2 linked regions of the Oryzias latipes genome follow. The protein of the gene in region 1 interacts with the protein of each later gene in a pairwise test. Links are inferred from orthologs where the notes say so. Each region holds a gene or a part of one and is shown on either strand. Other genes may lie near its edges.

Region 1 (3,757 bases):
TGACAGCTTGGACAAAGGTTTGGGTGCTGTAGCCAAAGAAAGTGGTCAGGCCCCACAGTTCCTCCACCCGGCTGTCCCGGCACTTTGCAGACACCCCACTGGAGTTCTTTGGGCGGAGGGGACATGGAAACATATTTATACCACTGCAAGAAATAGAGAAAGACGTGAAGCAAAAGTAGGTCACCTCTGCAGGAGTGGACTCCATCAGCTTCAGGCCCGTCTCTCTGGGGAGAACGCTGTCCTCTTTGGCACAACATACCTTCAGCTTTTTTAAGAGCAAACTGTCAATGCCAGGAAGATCCCTCATCCTGGAGAACAGCCACACACAAAGAAAAACAACGAGAAATGTCACCAAAAAATGATTCTTATAGGCTGAGGAGATGAGCCCACGTGACCGTTTGAGTCCAAGCTGGGTAGGGGTCAATCACCAGCTGACCTCAGACTGTAAACACATGTATGTATGCAGACATGATGCTGGTTTCCAGACAAAAACTGACGTGTGTGGAAAATATGCAAGAAAGAAAATGTGACTCCAGTCAGAAATTTTTTATCCTTTAGCTTAAAGACTAAATTCTCCGAAGCTTCATAATTGATGACGTTGTTTCGAAAAGGTTCTTTGCATTAACAATGTAATGTAGAAATAGAATCAATGTGAAGCCCAGACAGACAGGTATGTGTCCTGGCTTAGCTAGCTAGCTAGCATGCTAGCCTCAGTGGACAGACAGATCCGCTCCTCTCGGTTTACCTCGCCGAGACGCTTCCGTCGTGTGAAACACCCGAACCGCCTCGAAAAGGTTCCGAACATCATTAAATCATCTTTACGTCGACGTGTTTACACAAACAAACAAACAAAACAAGACGGTCGACGGGGCCACCGGGGCGCGACACCCCGAGAGAACGGAATTTCACCCGCCCTCTACCCGAATCACATAAACTCTGTTACCCATCATGCAATGCTTTGGGCGCGACGCACTAGCGTCACGGGTGCCTGTCAGTAGTTTTGGCGTCCTTTTCAAACTCTGAGCTGAAGCGGCGTCACTTTCACAGGCGAGTTACAAACAAACTAAACTCTTGAGCACATTTGCTTAGCTTTAAAACATCTGAAATGTTGACCGGTGAAAAAGTAAAGGTCAGGTTTCTAAAGCTAAGGGCGGATGTTGTTTCCATGGTGACGGAACCCGTTTTAGCTAGGCTTGTTCGCTAAATCTGGGGTTTTTTTGCTCGTGTTTCCGGTTTTGGCGTCAAATTTTAAGCAGAGAATATGTCATCCGGAGATCAGGGTTTGGACCTGGCACCGGACTTTTCTCTTTCTGACTTTCACCCGAAAGAGGAAACACGAGCTAAAGTTGGTAAGTGTAGAGACGTTATGACGTTTTTCCCATGATCCTTTGCTAACCCGAAGAGCTCTTTTCCACAGGAACCCAGAGCGCATCTCTTGGGCTGGGATTCAACAGTCTGACTCTGGATGAACTGAGGTAAAAACAACATTTTTTAAGCCATGGAAAAAATCATTCTCCTTGAATGTTCTTTTATAATTAGAGGATTATTTGCCAATGTATTACATCCAATACTTAAAATGCTGTTTGTGCAAGAAGTCCTGTGGAAAAATATCTACCTTATGTTATCACAGGCAGTAATAATATAACTAAGTGGAAGAGTTTGGGTGCACACTTACACCAGGTATTGGTGACCAAACCCCGTCATTTGTGCAGTTCAGACCTCCAAACTGCATGTGGCCTACAGGTTAGCTCAAGACTTTCATATGGAGAACGCAGAGACTTGGATTTCCAGTACCAACCGGTCCAGGAGTTCCAGGAGTTGGTTGCTGGCTTGTAAAGCAGCTACTGAACTCTGAAGACATGTCAGCAAATACACGCTGTGGCTTTCAGATGGCAGAGTGGACCTAATGCTCGACCTTTGCAGAAAAAAAAAAAACTTTAAAGAATGACAGCTGCACAAACTTGTGTTTTTGTAGTGAGGAGCTTGACAGACGCACAAAGGAAACTCGGAGACTCCAGGAGGAGGTGGAAACAGAAACCAGGGAGGCCTTGGAGAAGTTCGGCTGCACTTACAGAAAATGCTCGCCTGCACAGACTGTCTGCCATGGTTAGTGCTAGTCATGATAAAACAGATGCGCTGACTATAGTTAAAGAAAAAAATACCGTCCATAAGTTCTGTTACAGCCAGAAAAATGTATTATTTGCAGTAAAAATGTCTGCTAATTCACATTTTTGTGGAAATACAGAAGCTTCCTTGTAGCTTTTTGCACCAACCTTTCTCACAGAAACAATATCTTTTTAAAGCTTTTTGCTCTTTTGGCAGACGACTCATCTGAAGCTTCAGGCAGTCTTTCAGCCCTTCAGGAGCCTCTGACTCCTCCTTGGAACCAGGAGGGGCCCCTCAAAGAAGGAGGCTCCTTCAGAATGGATCCAGTGGACGAGCGTCTTCAACAGTTTTCTGATTTCAACAAGGTCCATATTTAGTTTAGTTTAGTTTTGTCTCCATAGCAACTAATTTCTGTTTTGGTTGCCTGCGGGTGACAAACAGGTCGATGTCATTTTTAGGACAATCGGCAAAAGTAAACTTTTGGGTTTCCTTGGCAACAGAGGTTTTTTGTTAACCCCGCCCACGTTCCTAATATTTTCATATTTTATGTTTATACTGTTTCTTTCAGCTTGATCCAGGAATTTTTGTAACATATTTTCACAATATTCCAGTAAAAAAATATCCGAGCAAAAGGCGAGCGCCACTTTTACGAGGTCGCCACACTAACCACGTTCAAAAATCTGCAAAGATCCCCAAATATCTTCTCAGTGATCCTCAAAGAGTTAGGAGACCATAGGATCAAAATCCCATGGAGGAGTTTACGTTTATAGAAGGTACTAAAGGTGATTTTTATTTTATTTTGAAAATTCCAGATGGTGGCCTCTTCCTGAGGTCAAAGGTCAACAAACTTGGGTTGTGGTTGTGGACTTCGTCTGGTGACGTGGGTAAAATTTTGTGAAGATTGCTCAAACAAAAATGTTCCTTTTCCTATATTGTGGAAAAAAATGTGAAGGTCACCAAATTTCACCTAAAATGACCACCAAGACAAAAGTCCCCTGGCCATCCCATAATAGTTTGAAAGCTGTCTTCGGATATCTCCGACTTGTGTGTGTTTTGGTTTCATTTGTGGGTTTTGAGCTATTTTTTGAGTTTGTTTCTTTGACAGTTTCTCGCACCGTGATGTCATCGCTTATTTTCTTTTTTTCCTTGGGTGTTTCACGGTGTCAGAAACGTTTACTAGGTGAGCGTCCATTTTTGCTCAAAGGCGCAGGAAGACAGAAGAAGAAGAAGTGTGGCAATAGTCTGGTCCTTCATTCCAGGTCTGACAGAAATAAATGTCATCAACAGTTTTCTGAATTCTGTCTTTTCCCATAGTTTTCTGTTTCACTTCAAGTGGGAAAAACAAGCAGAAGTCTTTCTCACAGAGAAATCACGAACCTGCAGGAAAAGCCTCATGAAGCTCAGATGGAAAAGGATTTGCTGTCTGACCTCAGGTTAGCACGGATGGCTCTTCTGTCCATAAGTCAGGTCCGTGACGTTAAACGCAGTTTGTCACTTTTAGATTGAAGGATTCCAGGAAAAACGTCGACCAAATGGAACAGATGCTCCAGATGCTGGAAGACGTTCAGAGCATCAAAAGATCTGTGAGCCAGAAGCTCCAGGAGACGGAAGAAGAGGCGACGGCTCTTCGCCGGACAGTTGAATCTCTGGA
Region 2 (3,657 bases), on another chromosome or scaffold:
AAGAAAAATGATATTCAATTTTAAATTTTGTATTTTTTATACTTCTTTTTTAAATCACTCTTACTCATTTTCATAAACAATTAAAAAAAAGTTTATTTTGTATTTGTTTATGGTATTAAATGTACAAAAGTAAAAATTATTTTTTCTTTTCTTTTACTGTAAGCACAAAATCAGTTTACAGGAAAATATTACAATAAAATAATTCAACCTAAATCTCGGTCAATAAAAGGATTTCTTTGTTATAAAATCTGCATCATATTTACTTTTGCGTGTCTTTGCATCACCAGATTATCAAACTGGCCACACAACTAGATTCAAAACAGCATTAAAAAGACTTTCTGTAGATATTGAGTCCAACAGTGGTTGGAGTTCATTCTGACACCTAAAGCAGGCTGAGGGCCTGACGGCAAAACAGCTGCTTCACTAACCGAAAGCAGTGTCTGGATAATTATGAGCAGAAAAATAAATAATAAGTTATTGGTTTAGGAATTACTTTTCAAATCTTCTGTCCGTATTCCGACATTCAGGAAGTTGAACCTTATTGCAATTGCTTTCTTTTTTTTGGACAAAAACAGTTCCGAGATGATGAAAAAACAAAGAAAAGACTAACAATCCTTCCTGTCAACAAGCTGATCAACCTTCTGCATATGTTTATTTACATTTATCCTCACGTATGCCAAAATATCACCAAGCCAGAAATAGATTTGATCGGTTTTTGATGGGCAGATGAAGTATTTGTCAGTCAGAAAAGAATTTTAGATTAAATTTAGGTCAAGAAAGTTTATAAAGTAAACAATCTGTTGAGTACAAAAAGCTGAGGATAAAGCAATGAAATCTTTTACCACGTGTCTGTTTTAGTCCGAAATTGTGAAGAAAAGTTCTTACCAGCAGAAAGAGCGCCTTCTATTTCTCATTTGTCTCTGAGCTGCTCTTTCTCTGTCTACATCGCCTCCCTCTCTCCTCCTTACTGACCAACTAATCGCGCTCCCTGCTTCCCCTCTCCTGCTGTAACATGTGCACCTCCCATCCCTCCTGTTAAGCTCCTCTTCACCCTCTCCCTCCCTCTGTATCTCTCCCTCTTCCTCTCTCGGCGGCGCTCTGGCAGGCCATTTTTGTCCTGTTCACCCACTGTGGGAAAACAACTCATTATGGGAAGATGGGCGTTTGACCCTGTGGGGAGGGTAGTCGTTCTGTGATCAAGGTCACATTATCAGCTGGGAGGGAGAGCTGGGGGTAGACGGAGGAGGGGAGAGAGGAAAAAGCATGGTTGCAAGGGCAGCTGGGAGTACATATGCTTCCTAACAGCTAACGCAGCAGCAGAGATCAACTGACAAAAAGCACTTATTTCTGCACTTTAATAATTGTGATCAGGCAGGAGTTGCAGCCATTGCTGTCCGCCGTCCTTGGCCTCAATGGCGGTTTTGTGGATCTCGCCGCTGCTCTGCCTGAAAAGTCTAATTAATCAAGTAGGAAAATGTGACAGCACGAGAGAAAGGATCATGTGATGATGAGGAGGTCGCGAAGAGGGGGATGGAGAGTGAAAGTAAAGAAAGTAAGTGGTTTGAAACAAAGGACAACTGTAGGAAAAGAAGCAGTGCAGACTAAAAAAAAAAAAAAGTTCCAGCACTATTTTCCCAGCTTTATAAGCATTACAACTTTTCTTTTCTTTTTTTAGTCCAGAGAGCCCACATTTTCAAAAAGAGGAAAAAGTGACTTCAATTTTTGTGTGCGACAATACTGAAGCTTTTAAGGGATTTAAAACCAGCTATTAGGTCTAATCCCAGTATTTTTCAAACATGATTAATCGAGCTGCATCAAAGACGTCATATCTGGATTATCCCTGATGCTTTTGAATTTCACATAAATATTTAGCAAGGTTTTAGTTGTATCACCAATAAAAACATAAAATATGGAGGCCTGCTTTCTTTATCTGGTAGGATTAATTGCTGTAAGGCTGTTTTCCTCCTGTCAGCCTGCTAATTACAACACTTACAGAAGTCACATGGTCTCATAATAAGATGTTGCTGGTATTTATATCCACTCAGATGTGAGCTTGAAAAAATGTCAGCAATCATGGGAATAATCGAGGAAATGCCTTTAGAATTCAGCTCACCGGATGTTTTTGTCAGCAGAGCTTTGATTCAAATATTTTAAAGGTTTATTGTCCGGATGTTCATTCCATTGACTTTAGATAAAAACTGGACTGAGTGACCCCTCCTCCCTCGTGTTCCAAACAGGAACAATTTTCATGATATTTTTTCTGTATTGCAAGTTATTTAAGTTATAAACTGGCTAATCAGATGCCTCAATAAAAGCATGGGGTCTCAAGTCAAACGTTTGTAACGTTAAACAGATTTTCCTAAGCTCGCTTTCGAGTGGTAGGAGTGTGAACTTCCAACAGGCTCACACCTGATTGTTGAGAGGGGTTGCTATGGAAATGATGAGTCAGATCGACTCAGACCTCTCTCCTTACTCACGCTGTCTGGTTCCAACACGCACCGTCCGAATCGTGAAAAAATGGCGGCTGTAATTGCTTCATTTTGATGAAGAAAGTCATTTTCTATGGGTGACCTTATGCCCAGTTAGTCCAGTTCTCATTTAAAGTCAATGGTTCCCTCCAGTGGAGTAAAGTTAAACGAAACTCTTCATCTGACAAAGCGGCAAAGCCAACGCTGATGCTACATTATGAGGAGAACAATGAAAAGCTTTAGAGGTAAACATTTCTTTCATTGTTACCAAAACTAAACAGATTTAGTTTTTGTGGCGACCATCTGGACATCATATGGAAATGATAGTTAAAGCACCACGACAAAAAGACGCAGAAACATCTTACAGTTACAGGAGGCGGGACTAGGACTGTGATGTCATCTGCATCTACGGGAGAGTCCAACCACGGCCTTTCGTCTGACCCCTGACTGTCCGAACAGCCTTTTCTTTTAACGGACTGCCATGGCTGACCCTTGGATCTTCTCGGCGCACCTTCTAAGTTTTGGCAATTACCATTCTGCAGTAACAGAATTAGTCAGCGAAAGACTGATAGGCATCGTTCTGCAGAGTACCAACATTTTAGACTCGTGTATCACCTTATCTGAAGAGTACTTCCACAGTTCCACACTGTCCGTGCTGTTTTTCATGGTGCTTTTGGGTCTTGCACCTGCAGAAAAACACAGAAAAATAAGCTCTAAAAACACAGTTCATACAGTTCAGGCTTAAATCTGTTATTTGATAAGTCCATTTATCTTTCCTGGCTTCCCAATGGTGCTGATTGACCTATGATATTCTGTGGTGATATGAGGAGACAAGCAGGCAAACTGAATAAGCATCTGTTTGCCAGCTCTGCTCTAAAGAAAGATATCAGCGATGTGGGTGTGTGTATTCGCCCAAAGGAGGATTATTCTTTTAAAGATCATAGAAGGGTAAAACACTCTGCAGACAGACCAGCTTCTCTTTGCTTCCTTATATAAGACGAGTTTGTGGTTCATTTGCCCGCCATTTCAAAAATGATAGAACAAAAAAATTCTTTGTGTTATTTAGCCTCAGGATGGACAGAATACAAACACTTTCTCAACTTATATTAAATATTCGCTTGTTATGTTTCAATTTTATTTTGAGATGAAGGATTGTAAAAAACAAACTCCAAAAATCTTGTTCAAAATT

The links. The genes of interacting proteins can lie anywhere in the genome.
Region 2: the proteins of coiled-coil domain-containing protein 158 (region 1) and gpsm1 interact in a two-hybrid assay, tested with the Homo sapiens proteins (2 studies listed by BioGRID and IntAct). The link is inferred for Oryzias latipes from reciprocal best matches to the Homo sapiens genes CCDC158 and GPSM1.

The regions. Positions count from the first base shown.
Region 1 is NC_019867.2:1,915,613-1,919,369, reverse strand, and holds the start of coiled-coil domain-containing protein 158, read left to right. Parts: upstream 1-1,028; 5' UTR 1,029-1,261; coding exon 1,262-1,349; intron 1,350-1,417; coding exon 1,418-1,475; intron 1,476-1,975; coding exon 1,976-2,106; intron 2,107-2,322; coding exon 2,323-2,471; intron 2,472-3,420; coding exon 3,421-3,539; intron 3,540-3,607; coding exon 3,608-3,757. Other genes in the region: cyclin-G2, read right to left, coding at 1-307.
Region 2 is NC_019870.2:10,829,217-10,832,873, reverse strand, and holds part of gpsm1 (G-protein-signaling modulator 1), read right to left. Parts: intron 3,155-3,657; coding exon 3,084-3,154; intron 3,005-3,083; coding exon 2,834-3,004; intron 1-2,833. UniProt on the Homo sapiens protein: Guanine nucleotide dissociation inhibitor (GDI) which functions as a receptor-independent activator of heterotrimeric G-protein signaling.